4 linked regions of the Arabidopsis thaliana genome follow. The protein of the gene in region 2 interacts with the protein of the main gene of each other region in a biochemical or structural test. Each region holds a gene or a part of one and is shown on either strand. Other genes may lie near its edges.

Region 1 (6,709 bases), on a different chromosome or scaffold from region 2:
TTGATTTACTTCAAATTGGATTAAATATGTAAAAATATGTTTAAGAAATCTTGTGACTCCGCGAATGATTTTCTCCTATACATTATTCTAATTAATTCCATGGATATGTTTTATAATATGCGTAGGAAATTAAAGAAAATATGTTTTGTATTATATAAGTTATTTTGATCTTAATCTTTTGAAGTTGAAACCTACTTGATATGCTTCTTCTTATTTTGTTAACTAACTCAAGTTGAATGATTATTTATTGATTGAATTACGTAAGACGGGAAGAACATGATGTGCCCAACCGAACCACGAATGGTTAAGGATAGGTCGGTTTGTGGCATATCAATAAACAGTTTATGAGACTGAATGGAAACCTTCTTTCTTCGATCGACTAAAACCCTTAGCCTTCCAAGTTTCTAGTCAAGAAGTATTGTTACTAAATTGCCCTTGATGTTAATGTTTTCGAAAATCTATTTATGTTTCTACAGTGTTTCTCTCACGTGAGTTGCAGAGTCAGTTCACGTGGTCCCACTACATCATGAAAACGACGTCACACTAACCTCTTATTCGCCTTTCACTTGAATTGACCATTTCGTTTTTATTTACTTTCCTTGATTTCTTTCTTTCTTCTCATCTAAACGTGTAAAAATCTTAACAATTCCATTTGCTTTTTTGTTTTTGATTTTAATGTATCTAACCAATTACTTGTGCTCTAGAGAAACCGAATCTCGAATAACAATAATACATTTCATCAAAGAACCACGAGATTGCGAGTGATTTTAAATCAATATAATACAATTCATGGGGTTAATATAAAATACAGAGAATAAAGCGTGTTTAAGCACAACCTAACAACTCACGAGACAAAGTGGAAGGCATGTGGGGATGTGTAATTGTTTTTGCTCTTTCCCTATTTTGTACAATTTTTCACTTCATGTGATCCAACACTATTTAGCTATAGTTCCTTTCTCACTATCATCTCCATCTCTGTTTTCAATTTATTATTTCTATCTTCAGATTAAACTCATGACTACTGGAAAGATGTAGTACTCAGAAACTAACTAGATTGTAAGCATTAGGGGAGGGCAATAAATATTACTCGTAAGTAAATTTAATTCTTAACTACTGAAAATCTTAAGTAATTTAATCAAGTATATACGTACTTGCAAAAACTTGAAAGCCATAACTATTTTCGCTTGAATACAAATGGACTAAAGATATTTTATCATTTTATTTTTGGTTTTAAGAGATGACTTTTTTCGAATATATAATTCAAATTATATACAGTACTAGACATATGTTAGTTTAGTAAATGCTAACAAGACTTTTAAAATAAGTACTGTAATTTGTAAGTCGTCTATTTGGTTTACTTATAAGTTAGTGATTTTGTAACAAGTGGCATTCAACTAAATATAAAAATGCGCTTAGCTCACATGATCAGGTTCTTAACTATGGGTTTTAGACAATTTGTTAAAGGCGGAAGAGCTGTCTTTGTTCCACCTAATGTCACATACATTACATATATCTCCACTCACACAAATACATAGACGCATACACGTACGAACAAAATCATACTTGTCCCCCTATATTCCATCATCTATAGCAGAATTTCTACTACTAAATTTACTATTAAATTGGTAATTGTTTGCAGCCAAGCCTAGCTATCAATTAGTAGTACGTATCTTTGTCAAACTTACCAATTACCTTCCAATTTACCAATTAAACAAGTCGTCTAGTTATGCGCATTCAGTACACACGAACATAGACCACGTAATACAGTGGTCTGATTACATTATTTACATGGAGGTTTTTATAAGCATGATTTTCTAAACGGAGACACAAAATCTTCTTTATTTTATTTTTCCTTTTCGCACTGTTCATTTAGGTTTGGTGGTATTAGGCTATAGAAGAATGTACGATGACTTGAATATCAGATACATGAGATTCTTAATTAATCATACATATCTTACCATTTTAATTAGTTAACTGATTTCCTTTTGATTGCATTTACTTCGACGCATGATAGTAGTCGGCGTAATTTCAACAGTACCTTGACACGCCAAAAGCTTCACGTAATTTGCTGTCGAAGAAGGTACGCTTCTTAGCTCAAATCTAATCCATTCGTGTTCTTTAGAGATTTGACTTGGATTCTAGTTTTTGTATCTCCATGTTCATTGGTTGACTTGAATTATGCGAAATTGAGTTGGTTTGAGCTATGAATTCCGCTGAATTATGGTTATTCTCTTGAATTTCTACCCAATTCTGATGACAGATCTATCGATTCCACGAATTTGGTGACTTCTGCCGATTCTCCCGTTTGAATTCTGTGGAATTCGCTGAGAAAAGTTGCGGCGGAGGCTGATTTAGGTTAAATCGAGCAGAATTTGACCAAATTCGAGGATTTTTATCGGTAAAAAGATACAGAGAAAGCATAATTCAGCAACTTCAGAGCTCAATTCCGCTTCTTCAACCATCGAAAACCACAATATCTCTTGAATCAGCTGCTACAAGTCGCAGATCTGAGCTGCTAGCCAATTTTTGCGATAATTCCCGCGCACAGATTAGTAATAGAATAATTTAAAAAGAATTCAAAAACCGTCGAAGCTCTGTCGTTCATGGAGCTTCCTCAACCTCGTCCCTTCAAAACCCAAGGTAAACACCATTATCAGATATTATTGTTACCAATTCCTTTATTTTATTTTAAAACAGAGTGTTTAGTTTCTACAAGATTCATAATTTTAAATTTATGTATTTTTTTGAATTTTGATATATATATTAAGAAGAATTTCGCACAGGGAGAAAACCAACACATGATTTTTTATCGCTCTGCAGTCATTCAACCGTCCACCCAGATCCAAAGCCAACACCACCACCTTCTTCTCAAGGTATTTTTTTTTACCATTTTACCCTTTTTTCTTCTTTAAGATTCTCTTAAAAGGGGTCACGTTTTTTTCGCGCGTGCATCTGATCTGACTTTAAGACGAATCATGGATCAAAATGTTGCTATTTTGTTGGGTCCTAATGGGCCCATCTGTGTTTAAAGCCCATGGAATTTTGGGACCGTTTTTTTCTTTCTTTTTCGTCTACACATGTCGTTAAACCTTGCCTTCGATTAAATAAATATCTTTCAACCCTCATGATGTTGATCCCTAGAATTGCATCACATAAATAACAAAATGTTGTTAATTACTATAAGCGTTTAAATGCATACAACTTGATGTATAAGAAAATGTGTATTATCTAGGGATTTACTTCTCTAACATATAGTTTATGTTTTTAATTTTGATGGTACGTGAAGCAGGTAGTCACTTGAAAACCCATGATTTTCTTCAACCGTTAGAATGTGTTGGTGCTAAAGAAGACGTAAGTAGGATTAACTCTACCACTACAGCGTCCGAGAAGCCACCGCCCCCTGCTCCACCTCCACCGTTGCAGCACGTGCTTCCCGGTGGTATAGGGACTTATACGATTAGCCCCATTCCTTACTTCCATCATCATCATCAGAGAATTCCTAAGCCGGAGTTGTCACCACCAATGATGTTCAATGCTAATGAGAGAAACGTTTTGGATGAGAATTCTAACTCTAATTGCAGCTCGTACGCCGCTGCATCAAGCGGGTTCACTCTGTGGGATGAATCTGCTTCTGGGAAGAAGGGACAGACAAGGAAGGAGAATAGTGTTGGGGAGAGAGTAAACATGAGAGGTAACAAGAAAACTTGAATCGTGATGTTTATTTAGACTAGTTTTAAAGTAGTATTTAGAAATCAATGGAATGATGAAATATAAGTTTTTTTGAATGTGTAGCTGATGTTGCAGCAACTGTGGGACAATGGCCAGTGGCGGAGAGACGGTCCCAGTCTTTGACAAACAACCATATGAGCGGTTTCAGTTCTCTCTCTTCCTCTCAGTTAGTCTCATATCTTCTCTTTTTTATATAACTCGGTCTATGGACTTTAAAGAGTGATCAACTAAAGTTTTACTTTGGTTGCAGAGGGTCTGTGCTTAAGAGCCAGAGCTTCATGGACATGATAAGGTCAGCAAAAGGAAGTTCACAGGAAGATGATTTAGATGATGAAGAAGATTTTATCATGAAGAAAGAAAGCTCCTCGACTAGCCAGAGCCATAGAGGTTTGTATTGTCCGAGATTCCACCTATATGATATCTAAAGTCTAAACAGTAACAGCTTAGGATCTGATTGATTGCTTCTTTACAGTGGATTTGAGGGTAAAAGCAGATGTGAGAGGCTCTCCTAACGATCAAAAGCTGAACACACCTAGGTCTAAACATTCTGCTACAGAGCAACGGAGAAGGAGCAAGATCAATGATAGGTAAGTCCTGAATATGTAGCAAAAGCCACCAGAATTGGTTATATAGCTTAGCAGAGTGGAGATACTAATCAAACATTGTTAATGGATCCCTCTGCAGATTTCAGATGTTGAGACAACTAATACCTAACAGCGACCAAAAGCGGGATAAGGCCTCCTTCTTACTAGAGGTATAACTATACTCTTTTGGCCGAAAATTTTGTGACAGTAAGATTCAATCACATCTGCTCCTAATCTCCAATTTTTTTTTTTGACAACTTCATACAGGTTATCGAGTATATTCAATTCTTACAAGAGAAAGCAGACAAGTATGTGACCTCTTACCAAGGATGGAATCACGAACCTGCGAAGCTATTGAATTGGGTAAATATAATCTCACATTTTCCGACCATACTTCATTTTTATTCCCCGGGTTGGAAACTGAAAACAAACAAACCATGTAATGTTAACCCGTGTGATCCATTTACATTATAGCAGAGTAACAACAACCAACAGCTAGTACCTGAAGGAGTTGCTTTTGCTCCAAAATTGGAAGAAGAGAAAAACAACATTCCGGTTTCGGTCCTTGCAACTGCACAAGGTGTTGTTATTGATCATCCAACAACCGCGACGACCTCTCCATTTCCATTGTCGATTCAAAGCAACAGTTTTTTCTCTCCTGTGATTGCGGGTAATCCCGTACCCCAGTTCCACGCAAGAGTCGCATCATCAGAGGCTGTAGAGCCAAGTCCGAGTTCCCGGAGTCAAAAAGAAGAAGAAGATGAGGAAGTTCTTGAGGGTAACATCAGAATTTCAAGTGTTTACTCACAAGGGTAAAACTAAAAAACTCTCTTTTGAATTTTGATCTTGCAACAGTTAAGTAAAAGTAAAAAATTATTAACCTTTTATACATTTACTTTTGTGTGTGGAGCAGATTAGTGAAAACACTGAGAGAAGCATTGGAGAATTCAGGAGTGGACTTAACGAAAGCAAGCATCTCCGTTGAAATCGAGCTCGCTAAACAATCCTCGTCTTCTTCCTTCAAGGTATCTTTTTCTTTACTTACGTTTGATTCAATTCAAACACATTTTCATGAGTTGGATCTTGATAGTTTATAGTTTTGTTCACATCTCGATAGGATCATGAAGTTCGTGAACCGGTTTCTCGAACCAGAAACGACAATGTCAAGCAAACTCGGAAACCAAAACGGCTCAAGACGGGACAGTAGAAGTTATAAAAACAAAACCCAAACACACAATCCGGTAAAAGTTAAACACCAAAATTGATTCCTCTGTTTTTTTCTTTAAATCATTTTATCTCAAAAAGGGATTATAATTTATTATTATAGTTATATCTTTGATTTTTTTCTTTTGTACATCCGAAATCCTGTTATATATATCTCGTGGGTCCATAATCGTATGAGACCTAAGAAGACTAGGGCGACCCGGTTATGCTAACCGCATTTTAGAACATACTCTTTTGAGGAATATATCGTTAAGGAAGGCTTTCAAAGTTTTCTGGAAGCGTCCAGTGTTAAGTGAAAACATTTTTCACTCTCTTATATACTTGATCATCTCACACTTTTTATATTTGTTTCTTCCTCTTACTTTGTTCTATGGTTTTCAATGTAATACTAGATATCTTTTATGTATTTGACTAAACCAAAGCGCATGAACGATTTTGAAAAAGAAAAAGAGAAACACACTTAATTATAATGCCAATCAAAAGCCTGTATGACCCAACTCTCTAGGACAAAGTCTGGAGCACGGCAAAAAGATTAAATCAAGTGTACTTTAGCAACAAGAGCTATCTTGTACTATTATTTATGCAATGTTGTTAGCAAAATAATCAAATGTTATGTGGGGTATTATAAGATATGCCATTGAAAAATATATCAACTAGCATTTAATTACTTTTATTTAAAATGATGAAAATCATATCTTCTATATATTCAACTTCAATACTTGATTTTCCAAACTATTGAAGTAAACGAGATCCCATATATAATGGGATAAAACAACAAACATCAATTACGTTCTTTTAACCATAATTTATATCCATAAACAACAAACCGCCTGTATTTCCTCGGACACGAAGAGGATTTGACACGGGAAGCTTCGTCTTCTCCCTCCTCGTCGTCGCCTCCAAAACTCAGGAGTTTCTTCTTCAGAGACGCGGTGGTAGCATCTTTTACCGTGGAGTTTCGTCGCCGTCGTTGTCTTTATCAATTATGATCTTTCTCGAACTAGAGCTTTTACAGTTAGGGTTTGAAACTTTGACTGGAATTAGAGCAAACTTTGGTCGTGATTGTAGTATTTTTTTAGTTTGGAATGTTGTTTATTATACTAGATATTAATCTGCAGTATACCGCGGACCTATATTTTTATTAAATAAAAAATAATTGAATAATTTTTAGG
Region 2 (4,147 bases):
GGGCGCATTCCCTAGGGTGTAACCAAGAAAAAGGCTGGCTTGGGCCCTCATGATCGTTTTTCTCTATGACTCATTCTCAAGCTGGGGACAGTTAGGAGAGAACCCTTGGAAAGAAGTGGAAGGTTCGGTTCATCGCAAACGACATCGTTTGAAGAAGACAACACTAGAGTAAGCCTGAAAAAAGTATAGTGTTACTAAAGATTATTTTGTCTCAGAACTGTACCATCAATTTAGTAAGCTTTTTCCTTTTCCTTTCATAAACAGATGATGTTTCAGATAAAATTTAAATATATTATCAGTACAGTAAGATTACATACTATATTAGTATCACTATTCTGCTATTCACTAGATTTCTTTTTCTTTTTCAACAAAATATGAATAAAATAAAGGCAAAAGCGTGTTAAATATAAATTCAATAAGTGACTACTCGTTGGAAGATCATATCTGCTTTGATGGGTCTATTTGTGGGGCAAATCCACTATCCAGTTTTCCTTTTGTGTTCAATGAACTATACAATTGTCAAAAAAAAAAAAACATGAGAATTAAAGAAAATCATCATGACCAATGAAGAGCAGGTCCCAACAATAATTCCGAATTATAGGCTCTGATTGTTATAGCAATCAAACAATATGCTTACAAATCACAAAACAAAATTAACGATATTTCCAAATATAGAGCTTTCCAGTTTGACTTAATAATGTTGTGTGAATATCCTCACATTTCCATTTTCGACTCTCTTTAGTAAATTTTGAAGTAGTAGAATGATGTAGAATGTTTTGTTTTATCAATCACACAGTTTTGTGAAATCACGATTTCCATCCACTATTCAAGAAAAACATCAAGTGGAAGAAATAATAAACCAAAACCATCGCAACAAAATGCATATCACGAGTATAGAATGAACAAACTACACTGTCAAATACTTAATTTAGGACTTAAACTTCGCTTTCAGACAACTTGGTTCGGAAACTTGACCATCCGTCATGTTGATATACACAATCCATCTCAAATGTAGTAGTGAATCACTATATCAGCATGTGTTATCAAACGCAAGTTGTCACTAAGATCGGAGCTTCTAGTTCAAAATGTTGATAAGTATTACGAAAGTACAATTGAATATACCAATTATACATCCAAACACGTCCATGCTTCTCCACTCGAGTTCTCTTTGGAAATCTATATAATCCGTCGGTTTGGTATTTTACTAGTTGTACGTAGTGTCTCCCCTCATATGTATTGAGTCTTTATAGTTTGTTGCCTCGTATACGATAGAAAGTAAAGGCTAAAAAACCATACTATTTCATAAAGGGTTTATTTAGTTAACTTTTAATCTAAACCATGTATCACTCCATTTTACGTATATTCGTTTTCACAAATAATCTACTAAATAATTTTGTAATGTGATAAAATTAAAGAATAAACACATGATACATAAACAGTCAGGACAAAAGTAAGCACTCATTTTCTTCTATTCATACTATAGTGAAACACTATTTTATTTTTATCCATATACTATAGTGACAAATTAATCTAATCATTAAATGTTATGAGGCTCAAAACAATTTGTTTTCTTATTTAACATGGCCGATCCCCTCATAAACCAATCAGATGGTGTGTTTTCCGGTCATACTCGTGTAGGACCCACTTCATTACAATGGCCCCACATGTCTCTCTATCTTTTTCTCCTCTTTATAAAATCAGCTCCTTTTCTTACACAGATTTAGAGAAACACAACATAAAACGTACTTCTTCTTCAAAACGCGAAACCACACTGTAAGTTACGTACACCACCACCTATCCTCACCATTCATCATCGACACGTGGCTGGTTTAACTCAAATCAACGGTGAATTCTTTTTGCTTTTTTATTTTAAATAATGAATGAAAAGATTCTTCTATAATTCCAGCGAAGAAGAAAGAAAAAAAAAAGCGTATTCCTCGTGAGCACTAACTTCTCACTCATTCTTCTTCTTCAGCTGAATCCAAATACCCATTTCCATTTTTAACCGTGGTTGGATTGTTTTGAGAGTTGAAGGAAGAAGATGACGTCTGACGGAGCAACGTCGACGTCAGCTGCAGCTGCAGCAGCAGCGATGGCGACGAGGAGGAAACCGTCGTGGAGAGAGAGGGAGAACAATCGGAGAAGAGAGCGGCGGAGAAGAGCTGTTGCGGCGAAGATTTATACTGGTCTTAGAGCTCAAGGTAACTACAATCTTCCAAAACATTGTGACAACAATGAGGTTCTTAAGGCTCTTTGTTCTGAAGCTGGTTGGGTTGTTGAAGAAGACGGAACTACTTATCGCAAGGTCAGTATCAAACGCATTTTTACTTAGATCTGATGTTATCTGATGATTTAGCTGTTGAATCTGAAGATTTGGATTTGAAATTGGTCAAATTGGGATTTTCTTGGCTATGAATTCGAGGTTTTTAGCTGAGGAAGCTCAGTTTTATTCTAAAATTGGATCGAGATTCCTTGCGGAGAAAGTGACCTTTAGGGTTCTTCTTACTAATTTGAGAACCGAATTAGCTTTACTTTCACTTGGTTACTATATTTAGATCTCTCCTTTAGCTTTTGATTGATTGTGACATTGTGATGTTTTTGGTATTGTTCTATGAGCAACAGGGACACAAGCCTCTACCTGGTGACATGGCTGGATCATCTTCTCGAGCAACTCCTTACTCTTCCCATAACCAAAGTCCTCTTTCTTCCACTTTTGATAGCCCCATCTTATCTTACCAAGTCAGTCCTTCCTCTTCTTCATTCCCGAGTCCTTCTCGAGTTGGTGATCCACACAATATCTCCACAATCTTCCCTTTCCTCAGGAATGGTGGTATTCCTTCATCGCTTCCTCCACTTAGAATCTCAAACAGTGCTCCTGTCACTCCACCAGTGTCATCCCCAACTTCTAGAAACCCCAAACCATTGCCTACTTGGGAATCTTTTACCAAACAATCCATGTCCATGGCTGCTAAACAGTCAATGACTTCTTTGAACTACCCGTTTTATGCGGTGTCTGCACCTGCCAGTCCTACTCATCATCGCCAGTTCCATGCTCCGGCTACTATACCTGAATGTGATGAGTCTGACTCTTCCACTGTTGATTCTGGTCATTGGATAAGCTTTCAAAAGTTTGCACAACAACAGCCATTCTCTGCCTCTATGGTGCCAACCTCGCCTACCTTCAATCTCGTGAAACCTGCACCACAGCAATTGTCTCCAAACACAGCAGCAATCCAAGAGATTGGTCAAAGCTCCGAGTTTAAGTTTGAGAACAGCCAAGTTAAGCCATGGGAAGGGGAGAGGATCCATGATGTGGCTATGGAGGATCTAGAGCTCACGCTTGGAAATGGTAAAGCTCATAGTTGAGATGAAGTATACATGAACCTGTTATGTCATGTCGGAAGGAAGGATTGGAGAATGAGAATTAGTGTGTTGTTCATTCAGTTCATGGTTTTGGTTCTTGTTCTAGAATCGATATTCATTGTACCAGTGAGTTTGTTTCACAACGCATTATTTGTAGATAGAATGTTTAAGATGTATGTTTCTATTATCATTCCTTTTAGGTCTTGAAAACATTACAAATATATTACATGATTAAGTGGCTTGAAATGTAAATTATATATCGGATGATGAAACAGAGAAAAACAAGTGAGGCTAAAACAAAGACTTGGGATGTAATAACAAGATCAGAGAGGTTAAGAAAGAAAAAAAAGACTTGCGATTTTAGCCATAAGATACACAAAAATTCATAATACAAAGAGGAAAGTAGAAGGCATGAAGCAGTAAACATTGGAAAAGGGAGAAATATATTAGAATCACAAATGTCAAGAAACTCGGAAAGTTTTTTTTAGCCTATCTGCTTTTCAGGTGAATCATTCAGAACCATCGGGGAAGCTATCAAGCGCGTCTTGCTTACCGTTAACGTAGAACTCAACGACGGCTTGCATTCTATTGAGCTTATCTGGATGGTAATTCACATGAACAATCACTGGTTTCACTTTCTTCTTCAGTTCATGATTCTTTCTTACAGTCTTGAAAAGGACCTTACTGTTCATAAACTCATACATATCCATGACTCTCTTGGATGCATGTAGCGCAGTGTACTCAGGATGTGAAGGATAAAACAGTTCCTCGTTGAAAACCGCTT
Region 3 (5,358 bases), 4.9 Mb from region 2:
GTAATGTCCTTTGAACAAGATTAGTCGATTATTATTTTGTTTCTGAGTCAGAACCATGTGATAAAAAACTACTCGTACGAGAAAGTTCTTCTCCACTTGAACTAACTTCTTCTATCCCCTCCCCCACCAAAGATAAATGTCTCAAAAACGCATCGTTACAGGCGCTTGGATATGTTAAGAGTTCTTGTAGATAAAAAAACAATAGTTACTCTTTCCCATGGTGATAAAAATTTATAGGATGGATATGATTTTATACTGTGTTTTGATTTTACAACCGAGAGATTTGGACAGATTCTTCCTCTGCCGTTTAAACATTCTTTTAGGGATACTTGGACTCTATCTTCTGTTAAAGAAGAGAAACTTGCAGTCGCAGTGTTATACTGGAAAAATACATGTGTGATGATAGAGATATGGATGACAATTAAGATTGATCCTAATGTCGAGTCGTGGAGCAAATTCTTAAGAGTTGATAGGAAACCATGCATTGATCTTCGCTTTGATGATCGTAATGACAGTTTTTTCATTGACGAAGAGAAGAAAGTTGTCGTGTTTTTTAGTTCAGACAAAGTTAAAACCTCTACGGCTTACGTCATTGGAGATAATAGATATTTGAGAACAGTGGATCTTGAAAAAGCTGCAAACTCCCAAGAATCTGTGGAGGTCGGAGAACGCGTGTATTGTTTTTCGCCGCTTGTGTGCTCTTGCTCTTATTATGTTCCAAGTTTGGTGAAAATCAACCACAATGCAGGACGCAAAAGGAAAGAGAAGAAGACGAAGCGCAAAAGTAAAGACAAGCAGATGAAACTAAGCAACAAGGTGTAACACTAGCAATGCTTATATCTTTCTTGCATTTCATTTTGATTTTTTTTTCTTCTTTTCTTTTGCAATGTTCTCTAAACAAAACTAGTCAATATTCGATCTTTATTTTGTTTCTGTTTAGTTCTCTTAATATAGGAACCTGGATTTTGCTTTCCACAATGCTATGTATTAATTAGTTCCAACACTTGGTATAGAGACAACGACCATGACTGTTTCTCGAATAGGGGCTTAAACCGTTCAAGATAATTATATGACGGAAGGTTCCTAGATATGTTAGAATCATGACGAGTACGAGGACTTTGAACACTTGTATAATGTAGATGAATGAGTCAATAGAGAGACAAAATATGCGGGATTCAAAATGTTTTTTTTTTTATAAATCCTCGGTCCATGTATACAGAGCAACATCCTCAAATATATGTTGTAATGCACCAATTTAAGACGTTAAGCTAATGCAATCAAGATTCATACTTGAATTCAAATTCGTTAACATCAATCTTAGGCACCAAGCCCTCTTATGCTTTAGAAAGCATATATGCCATTCAAAGTTTGATATCGATTTAACCATTTTTGATGTATAGATTATAAACATCCCCAAACCATCAATATTTATTTGTAGTCGGTTCAAACGACAAGTAAAAGTTAGTCACAACTCACAACTCCTCTCACAAGTAATTGATCTAATGTTTTGTCTCTTTTGACTAGAGACAGTTGACTTTGTTAACACGAAGTCAATAGTCAATACTAATTAATTGCTGTTACTCAGAGAATTGATGACGTGGCGAGATCTAAACTGTTAAAATAATTCTTCAATCGTGACCGTCGAATATTCCATAGTAGCCCGATCCCAAATTCTTCCTTCCCTTCCCTTCCCTCCTCTTCGCCTCTCACAACAACTCGAAGATCAAAGAATTCGTAAATTATCTCTTTCGAATCATTTTCTGGAAGCTGAGAAGAAATGGGTTTCGAGGATGATCCGTAAATTCTAATCCTTTCTCTTCGATTTCATATTTTTAGCTTCGTTGTGCAGATAAAAATCCCACCTTTGATTGAATCTAGGGTTACCAAAATCGATCTCTTTTCAATTTCCCAAATTTCGATTTCGTTTTTGTGAAAAGAGAGTGTTTTGATTCATGGGCAGATTCAATCTCCTATTGATTTGAATCCTTTGTGTTTCAGATTCATAAGATTTTGTATTTTTTTTTTCCAGGTACCGTGATGTAGATGGAGAGCCAATAGTGGACTTTGATGATTTTGGGAATGATCGCGAGCCATCTACAGAGCCACTTCAGGATTTTGATGAAGATCTGGCTGATGATATTGGAGATTGGGATGGTGAAGGATCACAAACGCCTGTTTATGATAATGATAAAGTAGCTAAACCAAGGAAGAGATTGGTGAAGAAATCTTCTAGTGAACGTGTGACTATTGATGTTCCGGAATTGATTGATGAGGATGTGGATGATGCTGAGTTTGATGAGTTTATGGGAGGAAGAGGTGGTGGTAGTACTGATTATGATGATAAGGTTGGTAGGAAGAGGAAGAAGGAGAAAGAGAGAAGTAGTAGTGGTAGTGGGAAGGAGAAGAGGCATAAGTTTCCGAATCGTGGCGAAAGGAAGTCAGAAGAGATTGATGAGATGTGGAAATCTATTGCTCATAACCCAGAGGTGCAGTAGATTGACTATAGTTATAAGATTGCCTGAGAGAGAATTTTGTTTTTTCGACTTATAAAAGTGTTTCGTTTCTGTTGTAGAATGATGAAGAAGGTGTTAGGACTATGGATGATGATAATTTCATTGACGATACTGGTTTGGATCCTTCTGAGAGGTATGGAGGTGACGCTGGAGACCGTTCTCCAACTCATTATCCTCAGGTATGAGTAGTGTATCTTCAATTTTGATCTTTGAGTCTAGCTTTTGTTTGTTGATACAAAATGCTTTTGTTATGAATAAACAGGCAGAAGAGGGTGAGGATGAAGATGAGGTAAATAACCTTTTCAAAATGGGGAAGAAAAAGAAAAAGACTGAAAGAAATCCTGCGGAAATTGCGCTTTTGGTTGAGAATGTGATGGCTGAGCTTGAGGTTACTGCTGAGGAAGATGCAGAACTTAATAGACAGGGGAAGCCTGCTATCAACAAGCTTAAGAAACTTTCGCTTCTTACCGATGTACTTGGAAAGTAAGTTGCTAACTTACTGTTATCTTATACTGTTTCTTTCTAACAATCTGTTTTGTAATACGTTTATTTTTCGTTATCCAGGAAGCAGCTTCAAACAGAATTCCTGGACCATGGAGTTTTAACCCTGTTGAAGAATTGGCTTGAGCCTCTTCCAGATGGAAGCTTGCCAAATATAAACATCCGTGCAGCTATTCTAAGAGTTCTTACTGATGTATGCTCTTGTTTTCCTGTTGAGGGTTTTTCCGTGATTTTGAGCCTTTTTAGCTGCTTTACCAATTACTGAGTCTGTCTTGCAGTTTCCGATTGACTTGGACCAGTATGATAGAAGGGAGCAATTGAAAAAGAGTGGGCTTGGAAAGGTTAGGATACATTACCTGATTCAAATTGACAAGAATCGGTATGTAGGATTTATACTCAGGAACTTAAATTTGTTCTGGCTTTGGCAGGTCATTATGTTCTTATCAAAGTCCGACGAGGAAACTAATTCCAACAGACGACTTGCTAAGGATTTGGTTGATAAATGGGTAATCATCTTTTTCAAGAGCTCCAATCCCTCGAATCAAATTCCAGCCAGTTACTTACTGTATACTTGATGATGCAGTCTCGTCCAATTTTCAACAAGAGTACTAGGTTTGAGGACATGAGAAATCTCGATGAAGATAGGGTTCCCTATAGAAGACCACCAGTGAAGAAGTATTTCCCGAAACCTTTATTTTTTTTATTTTACTCGCTTTCACATTTCATATACTGATTCATAGCTTCTCTTCTTGTTCTACTGGGGATAGACCTAGCAACAAAGCGACAATGGAGTCCAGAGATGGTGACTTTGACTTGGAAATTCGGTATGGAAAAAATCTTCCAAATTTGTAGATATATGAACTTCTAAAAGTTATGTTTTAACATTACTCATTGTTTGTTGAAAAATATGCAGGGAACGTAAAACTGGTCTGACTTCGGGTCAGAGTTCAAGGGGAGACAGGCAAATGACGATGAGGCCGGAAGCAACCCCATTGGACTTTTTGATCCGTCCTCAATCCAAGATTGATCCAGATGAGATCATAGCCCGTGCAAAACAGGTTTCTCAGGACCAGCGTCGGGTCAAGGTAAAAAGACTTCTACCGTTTATCTTTTTTTCACTGACAAACAAAACACCATCTAAGTACTGATTTGGTATGGTAAATACAAGTGAAATCCTTTTCAAGAAAGCCTTGTACTGGCTCAAAATCTGAGACCTTTTTGTGACAGTATATAAACAAAAACCCTTTGTTGCTCTTTCTTTTCTCTAATAGTCCTTGAGCTGGTTCTTTTGTGTTATAACTGCAGATGAACAAGAAACTTCAGCAGCTAAAAGGAACAAAGAAGAAGCGGCTACAAGCTACGAAAGTGAGCGTTGAAGGTCGGGGTATGATCAAGTACCTCTAGAGAGGTTACAACCAGACCATACCATCCATCCACATTGAAATTGGTTCCTTCTATCGTGTTAATCTTCCAACTTTGCTTGGATCAGTGTTTAAAGGTCTTTCAGGTGAAGTCGAAGACTTAAAGGCATTGGGGTTATACGTATATGTACTCTTCTATATATGCTTTGCTTTGAGCCTCTAATGTAATGGGAAGTGAAAACACTTTGTTCGTCACTTCTTTCTTCAGAGCATAAAATATTATGATAATCAATTTTCAGTGAGTTTTCAATAAACACTTTGTCCTCTTTCTTTGAGATTCATCTTTCTGCTATATTGTTTGTTAGAAAATAAAGCAATGACACTAAATAACTCAAAATTGGCTCGTTATTTGCAGACACAAAGACTACTTTTATGTGTGTTTCACAAGTTTTGGTTGCTTGAAACGGAAACGCCTCCAAATGCAGATGAAGAAAAAAAGACTATTACTTTATTTCTTTCTGAAATTCAGAAACAAAGAAGAAGAGGAAAACAAAATCCTAATTTCTACTTACTAAATCTCTCATCTACTTACTCCAAATCTTGAAGCTGCAAAAACATATGAACCCACAACGCAAACAAGAACAGCAAGAACCAATGAAAAGAGCTGAAAATTAGCCAGAAACTCTCCTGAGACTTCTGAATCAACTGATCTGCAAACTACAGAGTTTTGTTTTAAACTGCAGCCTTGAGGCATCATAGGGCCATACAGAGTGAAAGCTGTCTGATAAAACCAGAGGCCTTGAAGAGTCATTGCAATGCCATTGCATAGATCTACTGGGAAGCTTGTAGGGCAGATTGCTCCAGCGATTGAGGAGATGACGCAGAGACCGATGAGAAAGACGAGGAGGAGATGGTAATAACCTTCAAGACCTTTGTGGCTTGTGGAGTGGAAGAAGAAGAGAAGACACTCTGCCGTAAAAGCT
Region 4 (4,093 bases), on a different chromosome or scaffold from region 2:
GAAATTGCTTTCAGTACTTTCACTTTCACCAAGTACTGACAAAATGGGGTCAGTTGCTGGTGTGATCAAATATGCATGTGTTTCTCACTTTCTCTGGTGAAATAGACGACGACAACCACCACCATAATTTGGGCCGGTAAATTCGGCCCATTAATTGCACACTGTTAAGAGTTATTACCCAGTAAGATTGTAGCATTCTAAAAAATCAAGATTCTCGCTCGCTTACTACAATTCCTGGGTCCCTTTAGGATTTGTCTAGGTAGGAAGAAATATCAAACCGTCTAAATTTCAATAACCTGACGGTTCAACTTTTGTTTATGAAAAAAACTATTAGAGTATTTAGATGATTAGAGATATCATTTTTATGTAAAAGAAAAAAGAAGGGTATGAAAAAGATCTCGAAAAATTTGAAAATAGAAAAACTTATGCTTTTCTCATGAGGCACTTAACCTGGTCGCATATACAAAGATCATGTCAACGTAAAATGAAGATGGCTTCATGATTATGTCAAGAATGTATAATGGTTATTGGTTAAGAAGAGCTGGGTTTATCAAAAAAAAATAAAAGAAAAACTGTTCTTTTTTATCCTGTTTTTTTTTTTATTATTATAAATTTGTTTGTTATCAAGAAGACAAGAATAACTAATTTAATTAGATTAAAGTAAATTTAAAAGTAGAAAAAGGCTTTTAAGGATACATTAGCTGAGAGTCAATAATCTAAAAAGTACAATGACCCACACACAACCCATAGAAGCAGCATTAAAGTTAAGACCTAGGACGCATCACATCAAAGGTTGACCCATGGGCCATTTGGAGCCATGGACTCAATGAGACAGATCGCTGGTTGTGGTTAGATGAGGATGGTCCGGCCACACGTTCACACGATGGACACATCAAAAGTGTGGTCGGTGGACTCATCTGACCATACAACCGCGGTGAAAGCTTTAATGCTCTTAGTTCCGCTGCCTCTTTCTCGAGCCGCCGATTCTCTTCCGTTAATTTCTCAACACATCTTTTCAAATACTCGCAATCCACTTCGGTCTGCTTTAACTTTGTCCTATTAGGCACAAAAATGGGTTGTATTGTAAATAACATTGCTCTTTAGGGGCAAAATGGTCAACTAATATGTAAAAATAATGAGCACTCTAGTTCTCTCACCTTGCTCTTCTGTTTTGGAACCACACTTCCACTTGTCTTGCTGTTAAACCTAGCTTCTTAGCCAAAGCCAGCTTCTGTTTCTGTAGTTTTACAATAAAGCCCTTGTTAAAAACAGAGTATTTACAATAATACTTTCACGCTCCGAGAGATGGATGAATGACTAACGGGATTGAGAGTATTGTGCTCTTTGAAAGTGTCTTCGAGAACTGCGGATTGATCTTTGGATAGTCTAAGCTTCTTCCTACAAGTCTCACCTCCGTAATCTTCCTCTTCATCGGAGGTTCCACGTGAGGAAGATCTATCTAGAGTGATGTCAAGGTCATCTCCGCAACCACCACCGGAGGTACCTTCTCTTTCAGTACTCCTCCTCTTTCCACTCACTGTGCTCGAGATCGTACTGTTTGGAGACGAAACTCCTGTCTCCTCTTCCAAATCCACCGTTGTTGGCAAGCTGTTCACGTCGATTTTCCTAAGAAACTGTTGCTTTTGTTGATCTGAAAAATGAAAAAGGGTTATTTCAGGATCTGTGTTGTTTCCTTGTGGAAAAAGGTTATCAAGACTTTGTTGAAGAAGAAGCTTACCTGAGGAAGAAACAAGGGTTTGGTTCCATGGAAACATCTGGAGATTGGACATTGGTGAAGAAGTGGGTTTAAGATTTAGCTGGAGAGGATGGTTTTGTGCAAATCCCAAGCTAAGACTTAAACCCAAATCCTCTTTACCCATCATCATGATATTGTCTCTTGGTAGAAAATGAGAATAGCAAAAGCTTTGATCTTTATGAGTAGAGATGACTAGAAAAACCTTGATCTAAAGCTGATTTTACCTCAAAAGATTTATCAGTTGTGCTAAGTGTATGGAGGACAAGAGAAACCTTCTTCTAGGGTTCTTATAGAGAGAGAGAGATGTGAAATGGGAAATGAAAAGAGAAAGAGAGGATTAATATAGGAAGTGAATGATATGAGATGTTGTCAGGTTGGCCAATTATAATCTATTAATGCCCTTTTGAAACTCAATTATTATATCCCCAACTTGTTCCCTCTTTGTCTTCTCCTTTCTCTTTTTTTTTTTTCTTTATCTTTTCCTTCTTCTTCTTTTACTATTTTAGTAAATTGTATAGTAAGTCCTATCTTTTGCTATCTTTTTCCATAACCTCAAAGTACTTCTATATATGTATGGAATCCAAAGTAAATTTAAAATGCAAATTCATATTTTCCATCTCTACTTTATTTCTTGCAAATTTGGACTAGGAAAAGAGAAACTCTATAATATGCGGTGCAAATCCATTATGACATTTATTTAGCGACAATAAGTACATCAAATTATATGCCTAATCAACTAAATAATGATTCTAAGTTTTAATTATATACCTTCACATATATATGAAGTGACTCATGTTATGTCTTGCATATATTAGATATAAGCAGCCTTAGCTTCTGATTTAATAGTATCCGAGGAATTTTATTATTGCGCCAATTTGATATCATTTCGAGATATATAGACATTAGTTCTTTATTAAAAAAAAAATTAATAGAATTATTATTAAGAGTTGTAACTTGCTAATCTTTTTGACCATGTCAAAAAAAAAAAATAAAGATGTTATTGGATGAGCTTACTAGAGTGAATTTTATTTAGTATTTACGGTAAGTTGAATAATTGCCAATCTAATAGTTATGCTACAAAATATTTACTCTACTGTAAAGAAATAAACGTGAACATCTTTAGTTTTTTACTCCACCTAAAAGTGGTAGTAAATATTTCAGTTCATTTTCTCTTTTCATTTTTATTTAACCCTCAAATTTTTCCAATCATTGGTGCAAGAACTTGTGACCTTTGTAAAGAAAAAAAAAACAACTCAATCAGTCAAGATCACACACGGATGAGAACAGATATCGAAGAAATAGTTGGCAATTAATTGTTGAAATAATGAAGAAAAAAAAAGGACTAAATCAAGTGGTTGGTACAAAACACAATCCACATGAATCTGAGCTCATTCAAAGTTGTGGGCCAGTCACCTGTTGTGATCCAATCATATCCATGTGGGATGTGGGATCTATCATTACACTAACACCCATATGTATTACATATGAATCCAATATTCACTGACTGTTTCTCTATTTTCATTTCATGTTCTTAAACTTTCAACTATTATAGATCATCATACTTCCCTTATCATCAATTTTGTAGAATTTTTAAGTATTCAGATCGTGTTCTATAATCAGATATATTCTGAGTGCTGCTAATCAGAATCATTTTGCTTTATTGTTGACAAAAAAAAAAAAGAAGAAGTAAATTAAAACTGCCGAAAGATGATTAAAAAATGTCTCAAATAGTTTTGGGCTCAAGAGAGAACATGGGCAGGTGGGTCATGTCACGTGACAACAAGGGACCCGAAAACACTCGACCCGGCCGTGCGTTTTATTTTGTTTCCTCACGCGCCGACATCTTATCATTGCCTACCACGCGCCTTCATCATTTTCGCTTCGTTGTAATCATTATACGCATGATTTCAAATGAAATAACTCCTTCTCATTAATGATCTAACTGTACTCGAAATTAAAAATAGTTAAACATAGTACATTCGAATTATATGCCGTATATAATGAACTAATAATTCATCTTTCTAGTAAGTATTTTTTTTTTCAAACTAGTAGTGTATTATGCGTTCTAAACGAAAACATGAAATATCTATTTAGAAGCTCTATTTGAAAATGTTAATGGATTTGAATACTCACGACAAAACGAACCAAAAAATTGTTATTGAATATATATATTTCTACTTCGTTTTTTGATTAGAAGAAATTCGAGACCCAAAAGCTCGTAGATCCCCCTTAGGTTGAGACGAGAAATTCAAGACCCCTATTAGCTTATATATATTTAGTCTATACTTGTATATAATAGCAGTGATTAAGGGTTCGGTATAGTCCCGGTTTATTCAT

What was found.
Region 1: the proteins of BES1 (region 2) and BIM1 form a complex in vitro, tested with the Arabidopsis thaliana proteins (one study listed by BioGRID).
Region 3: the proteins of BES1 (region 2) and IWS1 form a complex in vitro, tested with the Arabidopsis thaliana proteins (one study listed by BioGRID).
Region 4: the proteins of BES1 (region 2) and HAT1 form a complex in vitro, tested with the Arabidopsis thaliana proteins (one study listed by BioGRID).

The regions. Positions count from the first base shown.
Region 1 is NC_003076.8:2,605,466-2,612,174, reverse strand, and holds BIM1 (basic helix-loop-helix (bHLH) DNA-binding superfamily protein), read left to right. Parts: upstream 1-1,924; 5' UTR 1,925-2,080; exon of another isoform or gene 2,081-2,260; 5' UTR 2,261-2,603; coding exon 2,604-2,640; intron 2,641-2,771; coding exon 2,772-2,873; intron 2,874-3,289; coding exon 3,290-3,691; intron 3,692-3,792; coding exon 3,793-3,895; intron 3,896-3,979; coding exon 3,980-4,116; intron 4,117-4,201; coding exon 4,202-4,316; intron 4,317-4,413; coding exon 4,414-4,483; intron 4,484-4,580; coding exon 4,581-4,676; intron 4,677-4,787; coding exon 4,788-5,125; intron 5,126-5,226; coding exon 5,227-5,338; intron 5,339-5,430; coding exon 5,431-5,520; 3' UTR 5,521-6,157; downstream 6,158-6,709. UniProt on the Arabidopsis thaliana protein: Positive brassinosteroid-signaling protein. Transcription factor that bind specifically to the DNA sequence 5'-CANNTG-3'(E box). Can bind individually to the promoter as a homodimer or synergistically as a heterodimer with BZR2/BES1.
Region 2 is NC_003070.9:6,686,800-6,690,946, forward strand, and holds BES1 (Brassinosteroid signaling positive regulator (BZR1) family protein), read left to right. Parts: upstream 1-1,735; 5' UTR 1,736-1,880; coding exon 1,881-1,939; exon of another isoform or gene 1,940-2,034; coding exon 2,035-2,305; intron 2,306-2,622; coding exon 2,623-3,366; 3' UTR 3,367-3,612; downstream 3,613-4,147. Other genes in the region: RRA3 (Nucleotide-diphospho-sugar transferase family protein), read right to left, coding at 3,873-4,147. UniProt on the Arabidopsis thaliana protein: Positive regulator of brassinosteroid (BR) signaling. Transcription factor that activates target gene expression by binding specifically to the DNA sequence 5'-CANNTG-3'(E box) through its N-terminal domain.
Region 3 is NC_003070.9:11,558,206-11,563,563, reverse strand, and holds IWS1 (Transcription elongation factor (TFIIS) family protein), read left to right. Parts: upstream 1-1,664; 5' UTR 1,665-1,777; coding exon 1,778-1,797; intron 1,798-2,029; coding exon 2,030-2,486; intron 2,487-2,572; coding exon 2,573-2,692; intron 2,693-2,775; coding exon 2,776-2,996; intron 2,997-3,077; coding exon 3,078-3,207; intron 3,208-3,292; coding exon 3,293-3,355; intron 3,356-3,442; coding exon 3,443-3,520; intron 3,521-3,597; coding exon 3,598-3,689; intron 3,690-3,781; coding exon 3,782-3,838; intron 3,839-3,927; coding exon 3,928-4,099; intron 4,100-4,319; coding exon 4,320-4,418; 3' UTR 4,419-4,809; downstream 4,810-5,358. Other genes in the region: AT1G32140 (F-box family protein), read left to right, coding at 238-822; AT1G32127 (plant viral-response family protein), read right to left, coding at 4,956-5,358. UniProt on the Arabidopsis thaliana protein: Transcription factor involved in RNA polymerase II (RNAPII) transcription regulation. Involved in transcription elongation. May function at post-recruitment and elongation steps of transcription.
Region 4 is NC_003075.7:9,737,655-9,741,747, reverse strand, and holds HAT1 (Homeobox-leucine zipper protein 4 (HB-4) / HD-ZIP protein), read right to left. Parts: upstream 2,231-4,093; 5' UTR 1,887-2,230; coding exon 1,739-1,886; intron 1,652-1,738; coding exon 1,323-1,651; intron 1,238-1,322; coding exon 1,158-1,237; intron 1,057-1,157; coding exon 765-1,056; 3' UTR 514-764; downstream 1-513. UniProt on the Arabidopsis thaliana protein: Probable transcription factor.